Linked DNA regions of Schizosaccharomyces pombe. The gene in region 1 interacts genetically with each later gene. Each region holds a gene or a part of one and is shown in the gene's direction. Other genes may lie near its edges. The genes, in order: emc10, zds1, asl1 and omh6.

Region 1 (3,192 bases):
AAGTTACTACCTTTTCCCGTGGCTCGAACTTATAAGCATAAAATCTAAAAAAGCCATGAAGTAAACTTCCCAATGAGCTATAATTTTGGGAAGGAGGGATATCTTCCAGTTTATCGTCAAAACCAACGTCAAATCCATCAACTATCTTTTCTTGTTTCAAAGGTGACAACAGTAAATTAGGAAAGACGGGAGGCTTGATAACGTGAATCAGATAGTAAAGAACCATTAGGACGTAACCATAACTGGAAAGAGTTCCAAAGTAAGGAGAGTTGATTTGCTTCCGTTTGGCCCAATGCTTAACAAGAAGGACCATGGGTTTTAGGCGAGCATCTAATTTTGTATATGAAGAAAGTAAAAGCGTATTATGAATAGCTAGACGATTGTTAAATCCAATATCACATTGAAACGAAGCCCCAAATCCATTTTTCGTATCAGATGTTAATTTGATAATGGGAATTCTTGCCCTTTGTAAAAATTTTCCTTCAAATCCTGTCGATAGTTAGTTATGCGAGCCAACTGGAAAGGAAAAAAACAATATTCAGAGATAGTTTGTCTAAACTGAATAACTTTTAATGAATAATTATACTTACCTTCAGCTATAAGCTCTTCATAGAATTGGAGCGCAATTGTATCACTTTGGACGCGCGAATCCATAAGCACGCACAAATCCATATCCGAATTTTTAAGTGCTAAACCAGATTCCAAACTTCCAAAGGCTACCAATTCAGCATCTAAGTCACATATCATTAGAATTGGACATTATCAATATTTGGTAAAGTCTCCACTCTCGTTAACTACATAATTGAGACAGTCCTAAATTTATATTCAAACATACCAGGGGATATTCGTTTAAGGCATAGCCGAAGTGTATCTAATGCCGCTCTCTTTTCTTTAAACTCTTTGTCACTAATTTTAATCTCATTATACACTTCATAGCAAAACTTCGTAAATTCCTTGTGCGAATTAGGGACCTTTTGGTAGCTACAACTTTTTGAAATATGTAAATTTTTGTGAATTTCTGCCTCAATCTCTTCAACTGTGTGAACACCAGGAATAAATTGTGCAGAAGAAATGTTCATATTCGTCTACTGCTCAAAAGGTGAAAGTGGCAAACTTATTCACTTTCTCTTTGAGTAATTATTCACTGTTTAATGGTCTTTGATGCTTCCTTTTACTAATTGAAGCAAGTCAGTTACAGTGTTTGCTTTTGGCAAAAGCTCCTTTACCAATTGATATGTTACTTAATAGCAGTAGGGGTGACAGCGCTAATGGATGAGGAATGAGCTATAAAAAGCAGTAAAGTAATTGAAAAAAGTTAGGAAGAAGAAATCCTAAGGTCCAAATGTTTTCTTTCTCACTTAAGAAGCGAATGTTGTATGGCTAGTAATGGTTTATGTGAAAAAGGAAAATTAGCAAATAATCCGTTGAAAGCCTTAATCATGAATATTTCTAACAATAACTACTAATATTTAGTTTATTTTTATGTCAGCGAGCTATCTTCGTCACAGTTAAGCAAAATAGCTTCACTTGATGATTATGGACGAGCTTAACACCTAAACACTACGCTCTTCCTACTTTCAGATACAAAAAGTAATTTTCGTCCGGAAAAGATAATATATTTTATTAATCTCATAGATTTTACGAAATTTACTAAAAATGCTAGGACAAGGCTTGATTTTTATCAGTTTAGCCTTTGTTGCTCATGCATTAGAAATTCCTATTTCTTGCGCTGTATCACATAATGAGCAAACAGAAATATTTCCACATGGTACTATTGATATCCCAGAAATGACATTTCGTCCTTCGGACTCACAAATTGATTGGAGTAATCTTTCTCACTCTGATTTTGTACAATGTGGAGTATACGAAGATTCTACCAACACATGGCTTGCAGGCGCCAGCAAATACAAAATTGATGAAATAAAAACCCTTCCAAAAGTACCTAGAGACCACTATATCATACTTTGTGATTCATCAGAAAGCAATGAGATTGCAAAATTTACTCAAGTGGTCCACTCATTTGATTTTTCATCCGACTCAGAAAGTGCTGTAGTCGAGCAATTGCATCCTTCTTCTCCAATTCCAATTTTAACTACTGCTGTCAGAAAAAAGGGATCACGTCCATCTAAACCCCAGAAGGAAAAACAAGGAAATAAACAGGGTTCTAAAACCGAAGAATCTCCAAATGTGGACGAAGATGAATTAGAGTCCGAACCTGAGGAAAAGACATTTTTCCAAAAATATGGTTTATATCTCATCCCGATATTGTTTCTGATAATTATGTCTGGTAACAATGCAAATCAACAGGCAGCAAATACGGCGAAATAAACGAGTCATTATATATATGCCTTAAAACAATTGCGTCTCGGCTACGATAATTTTTTGATTATTGCTACTACTTACTGTGCTCTTTACAAATATTCTAATTCATCTATTTCCATTCAATAATACTGCTATGTGCCAGATGTACGATACTTAATAGTACTTTAAAATCTATACAAACATTTGTAATGAAATATCGTATAGGAAAGGTTAAAATAAAAAAGAAGGAAGTTTCTACGTGCACATAACTAATTTAGTCTTTAACAATTATTCCATTCCAACATAAACAAGATTCATTAATAACTAGATATAAACATTCATTACACGCATGAGATAAAATCAATTTTTAACAACAATAAGGAAGGAATTACACATGATTACCGGAGAGTGTGGTTAAGTATTTTTAACATAACCTTCGCGTCAGATAATGTAAAAAATGAGGAATTACACAATCTCACATAAATAGAACATAGTGTGTACAAACACAGAAAATTAAAGAACAGTCGTTTCGTTAAGTCATCAAGGGCTTGGAAGCCTGGTTAACGCCGCTATTTAAATAATCCACGACGTCGTAGAGAAATTTGAATTGCTCAAAGTTTTGAACCATTTTCATCCGTTGTGATCTCAACGAGTTAACACAATTGAATATGAAATCTTTTGAATCTTCCAAATTGGTCGTCTTGGGTAAAATGTTTTTTGGTACCTGAAGTATTTGGTCTACAGCAATAAAAGTACCAGTGCGTCCTACGCCTGCTGAACAGTGAACGAACATTGGTCCATCATTGGGAACCTTATCAATACAACGTATGATTCCCGTGATGCTTTCAATATCTGGATGGGTTTTGTCAAACCACGTGTGCACCCAAAAGT
Region 2 (6,937 bases), 640 kb from region 1:
AAATTCTTGAAGCTGTGCCACTGCTACGGAGTGATTGTTCTCTTCTTGAACTTGTCGAGCCAAACAGTTTAGCACTTGTCTATCTACAATAAAAGGGTCGTTCTTAATGTTTACAGTAGGTGGACTGGATGCTCTCCATGGTAAAAGAGCCCGATCTAGTAAGGAAAGATACTTTTGAGTTTCCGCACGCTGCTTTTCAACTACTTTCACACCTTTTGTACCTTCCGCTGCGATTTTCTTACAGTGTTCACGAAGGTCTTCACGAAGAAGTTCTAATATATTGATGATAGTACCTGGCAACTGGATAGATATTTGCTCGCTATCCGAAGCGATGGCAGCCGTTTGGTCTCGAAGCGCTGCAAAAATATCTTGAATTCCGTGTTCTTCAAATACATTAGCATCTTTGTAAGGATGGACAATAACTTTGCTCAATTTCATATACTCCTTTGCATTGTTTTTTGACGTTGACTCTAATTGCTTAAAGAATGCAATCAGATTTTCCACCAAATGTCTCCATCCTTCAAACCGATAAGTCAAGGAGTTGCAAAGTCCCATATATGCGTCTGTGTTTGGGACTGCATCTCCGTTTGAAGCCTGGTTTGGAATCTCCGTCCTGGTTGGAAATTCCGATTTCCCTGAAAGTTCCATCTTGTTGGTTCTTGGTGAAGCTTTTTTGACTTGGAACTTGTTAAAGAAAACGATCTGCTCGTATGACGCCAATCACCCTCCTGAAGGGGTTTGCTGTACCGATATAAATGTTCTGGGTTGGTATTCTGTTTAACGTAACTCATAATAGGAAATTGGTGGTACTTGAAGTAAAGGGTTTTGTTGGAAATAGAACATTCAGTGCTTAAGAAAAAATGTCAAAGAAACAGGTGAAGCAAAATTTGAACTTGCAATGTATGTTCGACTTGTATATTTATAAAATTATCGACCATCATCAAACAAAGGCTTGATATGCTCGTTAGTTATGGCAAACAATAGGTGCTTGCTTGGGAACATAGGTATTTTGTACCTTTAATGAGCAATTGATACATTATTGGGAAATTATAGTTGATAGGGAGTTTGAACCAAGGAAAAGGTTTTTCTTCTTTTATTCAAACGTTTCAATTTCTTTGGTTCTGCTATAAGGAAGTAACTCAAGAAACTGCCTCCGTTGGACTGGATAAATATGTCTATTTTCTTTGAATAGGGAAAAGCAGGAAGAATGATGGAACTAGTAGAAATCAAGTTTTGAGGTCAGAAAATATAAATATTATACTTTGTACTCCTTTTCAAAAATACTTAATTAGTCGAATTTTCGCCATTTTTCTATGTCGCTAAGCACTCATATTGCAAATTTTTTACTAAAAAAATAACGCTATGAAAGAAATTAAACATAGATAGGTTTTAGCTCTTTTTTTTTTCCTACTCAACTTATCCAACCTAATACACTAAAGTACCTTTTGTTTACATTTTCTAATACTGTACTTCGTTGTTTTGCGTTATATAAATTGTACGAGTCTTCGACACAAGTGATGAAGGACGATTGCGCTGCGGCACTATAAGCTGCTGAGATGCAATAAAGGTGTCTTGGTATTCCAGAGCATCCTTCCAGCACCCAAACATTTGCATAGTTCGTATTTTACCCTTGAAGGAGGGAATAGCATTCGCTGTGAAAAAAAAGAAGTTACTTTTTTGATTTCGTTTTTGAATCTCGTGTGTTTACTTCGTCTGTATTGGGAAAACCAGTGTTGTATGAAACTCGGATTGTTTGTTTTTCCAAATTATTCCTTTCTACGCTTTGTTAATCATTGAGGTGTTTTTCTTGCATTTCTTTCATTTCCCTTTTTTGATCGGAGTAATTAATTAAATTACTTTAATATTCCAAGGCGCCCCATTGTTGCTGTGCTGTTTGACGGACGGTCGGCTGTGCTTGTTTCTGAGCGGATCTGTTCATGAAATTGCTTTTTAAATTCCTTAGTTGAAAACTGTTATTTCCATAAAGCTATTCCATGCGGCCAAAGGCTATTTTCTGATTTGTATTGACGAATTATCCGTCTAGTACCCAACCTTACTAGAATTGGAACATTTTATTTATTTTCCTTTTTTTTTTTAAAAACGAAAAAAAACTGGACTTTTGTTTCGCAAATACGGATTGGCAACGGTGGGAAGATTGAAAGAAGACCTATTGTGATTATTACTCACGTATTGGGGTGTCTCATTTTCCTTTGTAAATAATATTTGAAACCATTTTATTCTACTTTTCTTTCTTTCTTCTCAAATTAAAGTATAATAAAGTACTTGTTTATTCAAATCCTTTGATTTGCCCCTTTTTCTTTTTTTGTTTTTACTTTGCTTTTCATTAAATATTTTCAACTTGTTCATTTCTAGGATACATTTTGAGAGCATTGCAACTTCAATTTCCTCTGCAACTTAACTTCCTATTTCTTCTTATTTTTTTAATTCTCTCACAAACTTGGCATACGATTCCTTTCTTTCTTTTTTATTTGATTAATTCTGTCAAACTATTTTTTCAACTGATTGGTTCTCTTTCTTTTCTTTTTCCTTTTAAATAAAAAATAATGTCTAGTTCTTCAGTTTCTAATACTCTATCCATTGAGACTAAAAGTGACCCTAAAGATCCTGCTTTCGTTGCTTCTCAGGAATCTACTGAATGTAATGAACATGACACAACCCAGCTATCTGGCTCTTCATCTGAACCACTTGAGAATAATTCCTCTTTAACTCGCTCAACAGATGATCCGTCGGTAGAAATTCGTTCGAAGTTGGTGAGCCCTGATAATGAAGCTAACTTATTGAGTGATCAAAATATCACAATATCAAATGAAAACAACAATGAAAACGATACCACAGAAGAAGCGGAGACTTCTAGCGGTAACGAAGCTGCCGATGATGAGGATTCCTCCTCTGATGCTCAGTCATCTGTCCCTTCTTTTTCGGAAATTCATGATGGGATGTCTGAAGAAGAGTTGGATAAAGAGAGGAAAACTCTAACACATCTTCGAAGAATATCTCTGCAAGGAGCTGATGATCCTGAGATTCCAACTGACTGGTCAGTTGCGATGTCCCCACCTGAAACCGAACAAGATGCATCTACCCTATTCTGGGTACCAGCAAATTTACATCCTGAATTGAACCCGACTGGTTGGAAATCGTTTTTGGACCTTCAAGTTAAAAACCTTAAGTCCCCTACTGCTACAGACACATCTTCAAGTCCTCTTGAGCACATTCGTTCCCTAAGAAGAAGAAAGTCATTGTTGTCACGACAGGTTAAAGCTGACGATGCTGTAATTAATTACCAAGATGGCAGTCCGATCGTGGAGAAAGCGTATCTCAAAAGGCATAGATCTTTACGCTTGAATGAGTTAGAGCATTTGGAATCTCTTGCACGTGATCCCCATAGGATGGTTTCTTTAGTTGATGGCATGAGCAACGGCTCTCCCGAAGATTCGCCTTTACTAGTATCTCCTAATCATTTTCTTCAACGTTCCTCAAGGACGACAATTCGAAGGACAGGTGCTTCGATTCGGACTATCCACCGGGGTAAAACATCAACTCTATCTGGCAACCGTAGTCACTCTATTTTGCAAAAGCCGACCGATACTTCGCCTCTACATAAAATAGAGCCCATATCTGCTGATGAACTTGTTGAGTCGGATGACTCTAGAACTTCGGCGCTGTCAAACTCTCAAAATCCATCGGACGATGTTGAAAACCAATCTGACCAAGCTCTAGAGGTTTTATCCTTGACGAATCCACCAAAGATTGATAACGCCTCTGCAGATACAACCTTACATAAAGAGACGAATAAGATCGATAAGCTGTATGTTTCGGAGAATAAAGCTGAAAGTGCTGTTGCATCTGAATCTTCGTTATCCGAAGGTACTCTCGCATTGAAAGCACCGGCACCGGAAAACAAACCTGAAAAGTCTAGTACATCGAAACCGCCAGTACCAGAAAATAAGGCTGAAGATTCTGTTGTATTAAAGTCGTCGGTACCAGAAGATAAATCTGAAAATTCTATTGCGTCGAAACCGTCGGCAACGGAAGGTATACCGGAAAATGCTATTGCGTTGCAATCATCGGTACCAGAAAATAAGGCTGAAGATTCTGTTGTATTAAAGTCGTCGGTACCAGAAGATAAATCTGAAGATTCTGTTCCGTCGAAGTCGTCGGTACTGGAGGATAAACATGAAAATTCTGTTGAGATTGATAAAAAAGCAGATGACTCATTACCTTCTAATAATAAAACTGAGGGTTATACACCTTCAGTAGTCCGTGAGGAAAAGAATTATTCTGAACCGAACGCTTCTCCTTCCGTAATACCTCCTAGAGTCCCTACTCCTGTGCCTGGTAGGACTTTAAGTCCAAAGCCTACTAGGATACCCACGCCTATTCCTTCTTCTTTGAACGTTTCTTTAGAGTCCTCAAAAAAGCCAGAGATTTTTCATGAGCGTCATATTCCGACTCCTGAAACCGGTCCTAATAAGCCATCGAAAAACAATATTTTAAAAAGCACTCAAGTTCCCGTTACTCCAAAACAAAAATCATCCACTGCTAACAAAGGTTCAACTTCTTCACCAAGTCCACCCTCTTCTGAATCAAAGAAAACCAAGAGGTCCTGGGGCCGTCTTTTTGTGTCTGGTGATTCTGATAAAGAACACAAAGAACACAAAAAAGATAAACAGAAAAAGAAGAATGACCAAATTTCTTCTTCTTCAAAGTCTGCTTCTTCTTTTAAAAAGGACCGAGACAAGGAAAGCATTTTTGGATCTTTATTTGGCTCGAAGAAAAAGCAGACGGAAATACCCCCTGTATCTTCTTCTCCACCGCATAATGATGCCCCACCAAAAGCAAAGCCAATTTCCGCACCTAGTGAATTGCCCAATACCACTTCTGTCGCAGAAGCTAAGTGTCAGACAGTGACAGATGACGAAGGTACCGATCAACAAAGTGATGAAAAGAGTACGGAACCAAAAACGTTTATTCCTGATAAGGATTATTACTGGAGTCGTTTTCCAATTTGTACTGAACGTGCCATTTATCGTCTCTCTCATATAAAGTTGTCAAACGCGCATCGCCCATTGTTTCAACAAGTTCTCTTAAGTAACTTTATGTATTCATACTTAGATTTAATTTCTCGAATTAGCTCAAATCGCCCGATGAATAATGTACAACAGTCTACTGCTAAACCAATACGCAAAGACATTAATGGACAACAAAGGCGTTCAGAGTTTTCAGCAGAAAATGTAAAAAACGAGCTGGAGAATCTCAGTTATCAATTTGGAGATCAGCGTAAGCGAAATCTTAATAGGAAAGGATCGACTATTCATACCGTTTCTCAAAATATTCAAAAAGTTTCAAAGAATGCTAAATAATCATTTTACCCTACTGCTATTCGTTGGTCTAACATTTTTCCTCATTGGTTAATTATTAGCATTTGGCGACTTTTGTTATATGTTACAGGGTCTTCATTGTCTTTAAAAATTTGTATCTTGTTCACCAACACTTTCTGGAAGCAGGTGGTTATTTATTTTCATGAGTTAAATATAAAATTCTTACTCAATGCATAAGTTTCTAATGAATTTCATTCGCTATGCTACTTTACATTGTAAGGGGAGTACGAAGTTACCCATTCTATAATAAATTACCAATTCTTTTTCGCTTTATATTTGTACATAGCCTCTATTTTGAAGTAATCATAGAACGCTACTGAAGTGCTATACAATAACTTTTTTTTTCTAAACAATGCTTAGGATAAATGAAAACTGCCCTGTCCTTCTAAAATAGCCTTAGAAAGTCGACTTCCTAAAACCTCACTTGAAGAATACTCAGGTAGTTTCAAATAATTCACACAAGTCATCACGCTTGGAAGATAATCATCAGGTACATAAGGAGGTTCATTTAAGCGCCTAACAACAGTTAACGGGGGATTTAGGCCAGCAAATCCTCCAATAGGAAGTTTTCGGCTTCCAGTAATAAATTGCAAAAAGTCTCTTTGTTCTTGAAAATTCATTTGACTCATCAAAGTCAGTAATCTCTGGATTGTAGGACTTTCCATGGTGTAACCGTGATCTGCTACTATAGATTTCATCAAGGTCGCGTAACTCCAATCCTCATCGACAGTACCGAATAGTGTGACCAATTCATGTTCTGTCAAAACTTGCAAAGAAGTATAAGGAAAAACGCTGGAAAACCCATTTTGAAATGCTTCTAATTGTTGTTGAACACCCTTTCCAACAGTATAGTCAATGACATAATTTAAATAATCACTCACATTGAATGTTGTCACAGGTGTACTAGCTCCATCAGGTATGAGTTCAATAGACGGAAATCCCGGTAGAGTAAAATCGAGATGAAGGTCTTCAAGCTTAATGTCCGTCTCGGCGTTTGTAGGGTTTTTACCCGGTATTAATTTCTCTAAATATCGTAACGAGTTAGCTAAGCCCTTGTCAACTTTCGCTACAGAGGAAATGGTTAAAGGTATATTTCGTGCAAAGAAAAGTGGATTAAACTGAATGCTTATTATCCTTGAATCATAAATCGAGCGTGCAACGAACTGTCCAAGAGCAAAGAACAACGAAATTTTTCTTTCATTTTCTGGACTGGACCCTAATAATGGAATAGGAGAAGGAAAAAGTCCAGACGCTTGGTACACAAATTTAGAGTTGGGTTGATCATTCCGCCAAATATCGAGAGAATTTAAGGTAAATTCTTTAGATACTGAAGTATAGAACTCCAAAGTGGGCCCAAGACCTGAACCAACTTCATCTTCGTATTCTATTTCAAGAATATTTTCAGAAGCCGCATAAGTTGCAAGCAAATGCAAAGCGTAATTAAATATTTTTTTCCGAGAAATACGAATTTTCTGGCGATGTAAGCTGACAAATTGAAGTATGGAGGAACTTTCGTTTTTTGATAGCTCAGGATTTCG
Region 3 (4,603 bases), 5.0 Mb from region 1:
TACTAAACAGCATTTTTTTATACCTGAACACTACTTCTCAATTTGCTTAGCTGTCTATTTAAATATTATGTTATCAATACTCATCATATATGTACTTGCTCTTGCTTTCTTGCTATAAGCTATAAATGTAGTATTTTATGGTTTTATGTAAATGTCTAACGAGTTTTGCGCTGTATACCTCGTTTAAAAAGTCATTTTCCTTAGCGCATATGAAAACTATAACATCGCGATTTTTATTACAAAAGAACTTTTAAAACAAAATCAAATAAAGTAACTTTTTAATTAAAATACCAATCTTTTGCTACAACTTCCAATACCATCATCACCTTGTCCTGTTTGCGTAGATATCTGTCGATAACCAACCTTCGTCGCCTATTTACCATCACCTTATTTTAACTGTGTTTTGAAGTTGAACGTAAAAAAAATTTCTGAAATGTCAAAATCGCTTATTGTTTCGTCGCCAGGAAAAACGATTTTGTTTGGGGAACATGCCGTTGTATATGGAGCTGTAAGTTTACCTAAGGTTTAAAGCAGATTACATTAGCGAGAGTTTTTAACAGGCTAGTACTGGATACAGCTCTGTTATGCATATATGATTTCTTTGTAACATAGTATTTGCAAAGCGAACACCACTTTTAACTTTGACAGTCGTCGCAAATGTCATTCTGCTATAGCCATGCTTATTTTTGATTCTAATCTTAAGCCATTTTAAAGCGAAAATATGGAGATCATTTAAATTTTTATGCTAACTTTCTAGACTGCGTTAGCTGCAGCTGTATCGTTACGGAGTTACTGTAAATTACAGACGACTAATAACAATGAAATAGTAATTGTGATGAGTGATATAGGGACCGAACGCCGATGGAATCTTCAATCGCTACCTTGGCAGCATGTAACAGTGGAAAACGTTCAGCACCCGGCATCATCTCCCAATCTGGACCTTTTACAAGGATTAGGAGAGCTATTAAAAAATGAAGAAAACGGACTTATTCACTCAGCAATGCTTTGTACCCTTTACTTGTTCACGTCTTTGTCTTCTCCTTCTCAGGGTTGTACTTTAACTATTAGCTCCCAAGTACCTTTGGGTGCTGGATTAGGTAGTAGTGCTACTATATCAGTTGTTGTCGCTACAAGTTTACTACTAGCTTTTGGTAATATTGAACCTCCTAGCTCAAATTCTCTTCAAAACAACAAAGCACTTGCGTTGATAGAGGCTTGGTCTTTTCTAGGTGAATGCTGTATTCATGGAACACCAAGTGGTATTGATAATGCAGTAGCAACAAATGGAGGACTTATCGCTTTTCGTAAAGCTACAGCTCATCAGAGTGCCATGAAAGAATTCTTAAAGCCTAAAGATACCTTATCTGTTATGATCACTGATACCAAACAACCAAAAAGTACTAAAAAACTTGTACAAGGAGTTTTTGAACTGAAGGAAAGACTACCAACTGTGATTGACTCAATAATAGATGCAATCGATGGCATATCAAAGTCTGCCGTCCTCGCATTGACTTCGGAGAGCGATAAAAACTCCTCCGCTAAAAAGTTAGGAGAGTTTATTGTTCTTAATCAAAAACTCTTAGAATGCTTGGGTGTATCCCATTATTCCATTGATCGCGTTTTACAAGCCACTAAGTCAATTGGATGGACGAAGCTTACAGGTGCCGGTGGTGGAGGTTGTACGATTACTTTATTAACACCTGAGTGCAAAGAAGAGGAATTTAAGTTATGTAAAGAATCACTATTAGCCCATAAAAATTCTATTTACGATGTTCAATTAGGTGGACCTGGTGTTTCAGTGGTAACCGACTCAGATTCATTTTTCCCTCAATATGAGTCTGACTTTGATTTTAAAAAATTGAATTTACTCAGCAAATTTAATAAATATTATATTTAAAGTTTTTATGTATAATCAAATTTTCATAACTGGTATATATATGAGTGGCTTGATAATGAACGCGGCTTGTCGTTCACCAACCACCACAGTAGAAGCTAGTCTATAAGAGTCGTTGTCCGTTCTTTAGCAACACTCCTTTCCACTCTTTTATATATCAACTATATACCAAATTTCATCTTTTCTTTCTTTTTTTAGTATTAGACGCGTTTTATCTAGTATTTTCTAAAAAAATGCGTACTACTTTCGCGACCGTCGCTTTAGCTTTTTTATCGACCGTTGGAGCTTTGCCCTATGCTCCTAACCATCGCCATCACCGTCGTGATGATGATGGCGTTTTAACCGTGTATGAGACTATCTTGGAGACTGTTTATGTTACCGCAGTTCCTGGTGCTAACTCATCTTCCTCATATACTTCTTACTCCACTGGTTTAGCTTCTGTTACCGAGTCGTCCGACGATGGTGCTTCAACGGCTTTACCTACTACCTCTACGGAATCTGTGGTTGTAACAACCAGTGCCCCTGCTGCTAGTTCCTCTGCCACTAGCTACCCTGCCACTTTTGTTAGTACTCCTCTATATACTATGGACAACGTTACTGCACCCGTATGGTCCAATACTTCTGTCCCTGTATCAACTCCCGAGACATCTGCCACTTCTAGTTCTGAATTTTTCACTTCGTATCCTGCTACCAGTTCCGAATCTAGCTCTTCTTATCCTGCTTCTAGTACTGAAGTTGCTAGCTCTTATTCTGCTTCTAGTACTGAAGTTACTAGTTCTTATCCTGCTAGCTCTGAAGTTGCTACGTCAACTTCATCCTATGTGGCTCCTGTCTCGTCTTCAGTTGCTTCTTCATCAGAGATATCAGCTGGCTCTGCTACATCTTACGTCCCCACTTCCTCATCATCTATTGCTCTTTCTTCTGTAGTTGCAAGTGCCAGTGTTTCTGCTGCTAACAAGGGAGTTAGTACTCCTGCTGTTTCTTCAGCTGCCGCCTCCTCTTCAGCTGTCGTTTCCTCTGTTGTCTCTAGTGCCACTTCTGTTGCTGCTTCTAGTACTATTTCCAGTGCTACCTCAAGCTCTGCATCAGCATCTCCTACTAGTTCTTCAGTTTCTGGCAAGCGCGGTTTGGCCTGGATTCCTGGAACTGACCTTGGTTACTCTGATAACTTTGTCAATAAGGGCATCAACTGGTATTACAACTGGGGTAGTTATTCATCTGGTCTGAGTTCCTCTTTTGAATATGTTCTCAACCAACATGATGCCAATAGCCTTTCTTCAGCTTCTTCTGTTTTCACTGGTGGTGCTACCGTCATTGGATTTAATGAGCCTGATTTGTCCGCTGCTGGAAATCCTATAGATGCAGCTACTGCAGCTAGTTATTATCTTCAATACTTAACACCTCTTCGTGAATCTGGTGCCATTGGTTATTTGGGATCACCTGCCATCAGTAACGTAGGTGAAGATTGGCTTTCTGAATTCATGAGCGCATGCTCTGATTGTAAGATCGATTTCATTGCTTGCCATTGGTATGGTATTGACTTTAGCAATTTGCAAGATTATATTAACTCTCTCGCCAATTACGGTCTCCCTATTTGGCTTACTGAATTTGCTTGCACCAACTGGGATGATAGCAATTTACCTTCATTGGATGAAGTTAAGACTTTGATGACCAGCGCTCTTGGCTTTTTAGATGGACATGGATCTGTTGAGCGTTACAGTTGGTTTGCTCCTGCTACCGAACTCGGAGCCGGTGTTGGTAATAACAATGCCCTTATCAGTTCCTCTGGTGGATTAAGTGAAGTCGGAGAGATTTATATTTCTTGAACTCCTTAAATTTACACAAAATGGGAAATTATCTTGTGAGATATAATGGTAATTCTTATGCTTTTTTTTCGTTCTTTAAACTGTCAAATACTCTTATTTCTTCTTGCTCTGAAACTCTTTTTTATGATATTTTGTTTCATGGTTTTTGTCGCTTTTTTTTGAATACTCTGCCATCTATCAGATTGTTTAAGCTTTCTGAACTATGCTTATAGGAGATGTGCTTCTTATTACATCGATCTTTCATTTATTCATTCGTTTATTTTACCAACCATGAAGTTCATTGTGTTTGATGTCACAATTTTTAAAGCGTGTATTCAATGAATATGCTGCGTGTTTTAATTTAATACAGTCGTTAAATGTCTTTTAAATTTTATTAGTAATCTTTTCTGTAAGCTTTGGAACTCTTGATAAAGTCGTTTAACTTTATTTGCTGACATTGTTGATGATCTGTAGTATAAAGGTAAATAATAAGCGAAAGTCTCGTCTATAAAATGAAAACAAATGCATAATTGACTGCTGTAATGATAAAACAACTATTTCTCCATTGCGCCATTGTGGGTGGTTTGATATCTGGGTGTTCTTTACATGCTTGTTTGCCTCTTTTCAAAAGGAGGTCTTAGCAACTTTGGACACACGAACAAGAAAAGGCTTATTGAACTATAGGATATTAGAAGCATGAGCAATTTAAGAGACATCACAAACTTAATTAGCAGATATTAAAAGAAAAAGTTATCTCGAATCTCTTGCGAAAAATTTATTAAAGTAACCTTTTTTTTGCATAGTTCTTTGCAGCAGATTTAACTTACGCCGAGTAATCTAGTACTAGATTCTTAACCTGCTCTACTCACTGTAATCATAAAAAGAAACTCTACTCATGCCCCTC
Region 4 (4,608 bases), 1.8 Mb from region 1:
TACTAATATTGAGCATCCTGACAATTATTTCAGCTAGCAGGCTTTCCCGTCGGCGTCGACAACTGCTGAACAAGCAACCAGTTTTTGGTTTTTATCATTCGCTTGTAATTGCCAAATCAGACTGAAATGTTGACAATTCAACGACCTAGTAAACGATGAAAAGGAGCGAAAGGTTTTTTTTATATACTCTCTTAGGGTAGCATTTCTAAATCATTTATTGCTAATACACTTGTGATGTTGCTACAAACAGCCCACAAAACTGATTGTTAAAAACTTTGTAGTCCATTTAATTTGACAAGGACTTATACACGAAAACAAAGTACCTCAAAATATGACGAGAATATTATCATTAAAAATTCAGTTTAAGTATACAAAATACCATACTGGCAACCTACCTCAAACGGTCAAGCTGTACAAACGAAAACTACATCGACAGGTCAGCCTGTTTCTCATCAAAACATCACAACGCCCATTTTTATTTGTTCATTAACAGCGAATTGGAAGTTTAAAAAATTCAGTTTTAAATGACAAAGTAAAATTGTAATAAAATAATTAATCGTATTCATACACATGATTAAACTATCATAAAAGAAGAACTACCCAAATGAAAAATGTCAACTGTATGGTTTTACCCAACTGCAAGGATCCAGAGATCATGTAGCGAAAGATTTAGGAATATACAGTTGTCAGAGGATCAACCAATTCCTCTCCAAAGGAGAAGGATCAGGATCACTCCAATCGTTTTAGAATCTGTTGGCTAGGCTACGCAGCATCCTTTAGTCAATTTTCATGGCAAGACGCCAACTCTCAACCTGCAGTCGAAACTGCAAGGACAATCGCCGCCCTGTCTGTACTCTTGTCAACCTCTACACGCCAACCATGTTACACGCAAGATTCTCGAAAGAATCTGAACAATGTAACTTCAGATTCATGATAGGTTATAACGAAGTGCAAACGAGACTTTATATAGTTTGTTGAAAATTACAACCCTAACCCTAGTGACTGTTTTACCCTTAGTAGTCTAGGAATTTTGGTGTTTCCAGAAAGCAAAAAAAAAGGCTCGTTAAAATAAGATTGTGCATTATGAACAACCACAGTATATAATTTGATCGAAAGTAGTGAATTAGTTTGCAGATATTGGGAAAATGTCTTAAGATACATATGCCACTTGGGTTTATGAAATATTATTTTATAACATTTTACTGAGTTTGTATTCTAGAACAGCTGAAGCTTTCCTATACTTAAACTTATTGCTTTTGTTTACATTCATCAGCAACAATGAATTGTTTAATAGACATTAAAAACCATTATAAAAGACGAATGCAAATTTTATAATTCCTTTGATAGAACTTAAATATTCCAACAGTAATAACAGCTCGACATAGCGACTATCAGTACGCTTATGCAAATGTCATTTATAAGATTATGCTCGTTAGCAGATTCTTTCAGTGATCTACCCATCAAACATTGTATACAAAAATTGATTTGCTAAAAATAAATATTTATACTCAAAGAGCTCTCTTTTCTAAGGTCAAATCTCTAGCAGGGTATTAACATTTGCCCTTAACCATTGTCTTAGGCAATTTCAGTTAAATTCCTTCAAATCCACTTTCTATGCGTTACTTTTGGAGTCATACGTTAGTTGAACTAGTTACTTCTCATAACAGGGAAAGTTCTGCTCGTGTTTAAGCTTCATTATGTTTTACGAACTTTTACTTTCCATACTACCAATTGTATTTACCTGGTTGAATGGATTCTCTGTAAATGAACCCAACAATGTATATGTGATTCTTAATGAACCTCAAAGCTCCAATTTGAGTGCTTCTTTTCTGATGTTTACCGCGTACGGTGCCATTTGAGATGTACTTTCTAATTCTGTTTTCTAGTAATGCTGAACTTGGGGAAGTGTTGCGCACGATGCGTAGCGTAGAGGATAGATTTAATAAGAGGTTTCATTATCCTTGGACGTTTTACGGCATGGATGAGTTTACGGAATACTTTATGAGTACGACAAGCACGATTGCGTCTGGTCATTGTGAATACGGTACGAAGGGAATAACTTATACCAATCATTTACAATTTATTCTAACTATCTCTTACTTAGTGCATTGGGATCTTTCTCAAGTAAAACCCCTAGTTGAAAACAATCGACTTTATCAACAACGAGCAGATGCACTTGCTCAAGAGAATCTATCTTACGTATACTCTCCTTTGTTTCACAGTTTTCAAGATTGGGTAGTTCGATCTTTATTATATCATCCTCAATTGGAATACGATTATGTTTGGAGAATAGAACCCGGGCTCAAATTGGTTTGTGAAGAAAAAAAGTAAGAAACTCGGTAAAACTTGTTTATTTCGTTCTTCTTTTTCAGGAAACCTAACTAATATTTTTGTTCAGAGATATATTTTCTACTTTCAAAGACAGCGACATTGTATTTACAAACCACGTCTGTGAACGTAAACACTCTGGTATATATGCTATGGAAGAGGCAATTGAAGAATACAAAATTTTAAACACTCAAGGAGATTTCAGCAATATCTGGGTTTATAGTAACAACTACACCTATTGTAAATACTGGCCTTTTAATGAAATTTTATCTCTAAAGCAAATTCGGCATAATCAGACCTACACCAACCTAATTAATTACTTGCTTGGTTCAGGAGGAACATATTATCATCGCTGGAGTAAGTAAATTGCTTCTTCAATTTTGGAAATGACTTTATTTAACCTGTTTCTAATATAAATGCTTCACGTTGTACTTTTTGCTGACATTTATTTAGCCGAGTCTGATATCCTTTCAGCAGCATTTGGTGTTTTAAGAGCGCGTGCTAATCATATGGAATCAGTGGGATTTTTCTTAAACGATGATGTTCATTATTGCCCAGAAACTATTCCATACACAGGAAGATGTGCATGTTTGTGATATTAATTGATGAATGAGCTTTACAGAAAATTTTTGTTCATACGAATTTGTTTTATGAAAGTTATTGTAATATGTGCATTTTCATTTACAAACGTTGAGACACTTGAAGTGAAAAATTAATCTGGTAGTGGTAAAATTATAGCGTTGTCTTTCCGTTTTTCAATCCTAATCAATAAATATGTATATATCATGTGTTTATTCTTCATCATTTTGCCTTGGTTTTATAAGTCCATCGGTGATCTTGTAATATACTATCGTTGAGTCAGAACACATGATTCCCAGGTATAGGAAAAACTCATCTCCAGAAAGACCTCGAGCATCCTTTACAAGTGGAAGGCTCAGTTTCTTCATAGAATCGAAAACAGAGGACAGAAACTCGATCGAAATTGTCTCTTGGAGGTAAAGCGGCAGAACATATTGCAATTTGTCTTTGAGCTGTCCATTTACGGGAATCCCTGAGAGTAAAGGCCTTTTTGTTTTTAAGTCAATATCAAGAACATGTACCTTTAATTCACACCAACGTTGACCGAGCCTTAAGTCGGTTTCCACTGCTCTCAGTATTCCATAGTATGGATTTTGCTTTTGCTCTTCTACAGCATCGTTAGGGAGAAATGTATTATGTTGCATGTGTATTTGTTTATAATAAATATATCTTTACTTTTGAGAAGGAAAATTTTGTTGAAAAAATGAATTATCGCCTCCGTGATAAAACTTTTAACTTCAACCAAATGGCACAGAAAAGGAACAAGCAGTCAAAAAAGCCTAAACAGACTTCAAAAGGAGTTAAGAAATCCTCAAAACAAAACAAAAACTCCTCTAAAAACAACAAATACCAACAAAACGTCCTTTTACAGAGTATTGATGATTACAACACTACGCAGAGCGTACTAAGAAGTGCTCATAATAGCGGTTCGAAGATGAGCGATATATCCAATTCGATCCAGCTTCTTTCCATGACCAAAAAGCAGGAGAATTAATTCCTGAGCTATTTTCGTTTCATGGTTCATTTCGCAGTTTTGGCATTGGCCATTGTCTGAACTTATAATGTTTTTACTGGGTTTCGGGTTTACTTTTAAAATTTTCTTGTTTTTATTTTGCATACTTAATTTTTATGAAATTTTATTTTATTATACTTGTATTATTTGTAAATAATTGTGGTTTGTATCTAATTGTGTTAGTAGTAGTTTCTGATTTTTTACAATAAGAACGCACAAATCCTATTCCTAGAACTACATTCCACCTGCCCTCAACCTAAACCTACTGTTGGGTCATAGAATCGAAGTCGAACGTAGTGTTTGAATTTTTTAACTATCACTTCGTTTACATAATACATTTGTGTAAAAATTGAAGGGTTTCTAACTTTTTGACTAAGGGAGATACCTAAATTTTGGAAAGAATTGTTTATTAGAAAACTGCTTCATTTTTTTTGTATAATCAGGCCTAAAAAGAAAAAAAAATCTTTTTTCCTCACTAATATCTTTACTTAGTTAGCATTATGTCTGCTCAAAAGTTGAATTTGGAGGATGTTAATGCTTCTACAAAAAAATATTCTAGAGGGCGCAAGCTGAATCCAAAGAAAATCAAGGATAAAAAGCTTCGAAGCAATATTCAGAAAATCGAGGAGAGAATTGAGAATGTTGAGTCTTCCTTGGCGAAAACCGAAATCTTACATGAAGATAATCCC

Evidence for each region.
Region 2: mutations in emc10 (region 1) and zds1 together harm fitness less than expected from each alone (positive genetic interaction), as found in Schizosaccharomyces pombe (one large-scale study listed by BioGRID).
Region 3: mutations in emc10 (region 1) and asl1 together harm fitness more than expected from each alone (negative genetic interaction), as found in Schizosaccharomyces pombe (one large-scale study listed by BioGRID).
Region 4: mutations in emc10 (region 1) and omh6 together harm fitness more than expected from each alone (negative genetic interaction), as found in Schizosaccharomyces pombe (one large-scale study listed by BioGRID).

The regions. Positions count from the first base shown.
Region 1 is NC_003424.3:5,204,600-5,207,791, reverse strand, and holds emc10 (protein Emc10), read left to right. Parts: upstream 1-1,555; 5' UTR 1,556-1,656; coding exon 1,657-2,328; 3' UTR 2,329-2,637; downstream 2,638-3,192. Other genes in the region: terminal uridylyltransferase Cid1, read right to left, coding at 1-489, 591-731, 836-1,079; protein tyrosine phosphatase Pyp2, read right to left, coding at 2,834-3,192.
Region 2 is NC_003424.3:4,564,743-4,571,679, forward strand, and holds zds1 (zds family phosphatase type A regulator Zds1), read left to right. Parts: upstream 1-1,595; 5' UTR 1,596-2,564; coding exon 2,565-5,381; 3' UTR 5,382-5,755; downstream 5,756-6,937. Other genes in the region: slm1 (cytoskeletal signaling protein), read right to left, coding at 1-648; SPOM_SPAC12B10.01C (ubiquitin-protein ligase E3), read right to left, coding at 5,756-6,937. UniProt on the Schizosaccharomyces pombe protein: Has a role in establishing cell polarity. Also required for maintenance of cell wall integrity, sexual differentiation, calcium tolerance and cell morphology. Involved in Ras-MAPK signaling pathway at cell cortex. Has a role in meiosis.
Region 3 is NC_003424.3:191,413-196,015, reverse strand, and holds asl1 (O-glucosyl hydrolase Asl1), read left to right. Parts: upstream 1-1,965; 5' UTR 1,966-2,127; coding exon 2,128-3,720; 3' UTR 3,721-4,088; downstream 4,089-4,603. Other genes in the region: mevalonate kinase Erg12, read left to right, coding at 434-508, 758-1,897.
Region 4 is NC_003424.3:3,391,202-3,395,809, reverse strand, and holds omh6 (alpha-1,2-mannosyltransferase Omh6), read left to right. Parts: upstream 1-1,565; 5' UTR 1,566-1,860; coding exon 1,861-2,327; exon of another isoform or gene 2,328-2,398; coding exon 2,399-2,685; intron 2,686-2,703; exon of another isoform or gene 2,704-2,781; coding exon 2,782-2,924; 3' UTR 2,925-3,119; coding exon of another isoform or gene 3,120-3,901; 3' UTR 3,902-4,060; downstream 4,061-4,608. Other genes in the region: pdi4 (protein disulfide isomerase), read left to right, coding at 1-125; tRNA-splicing endonuclease subunit Sen15, read right to left, coding at 3,120-3,551; SPOM_SPAC959.11 (uncharacterized protein), read left to right, coding at 3,536-3,901; U3 snoRNP-associated protein Utp7, read left to right, coding at 4,420-4,608. UniProt on the Schizosaccharomyces pombe protein: Probable mannosyltransferase involved in O-glycosylation of cell wall and secreted proteins.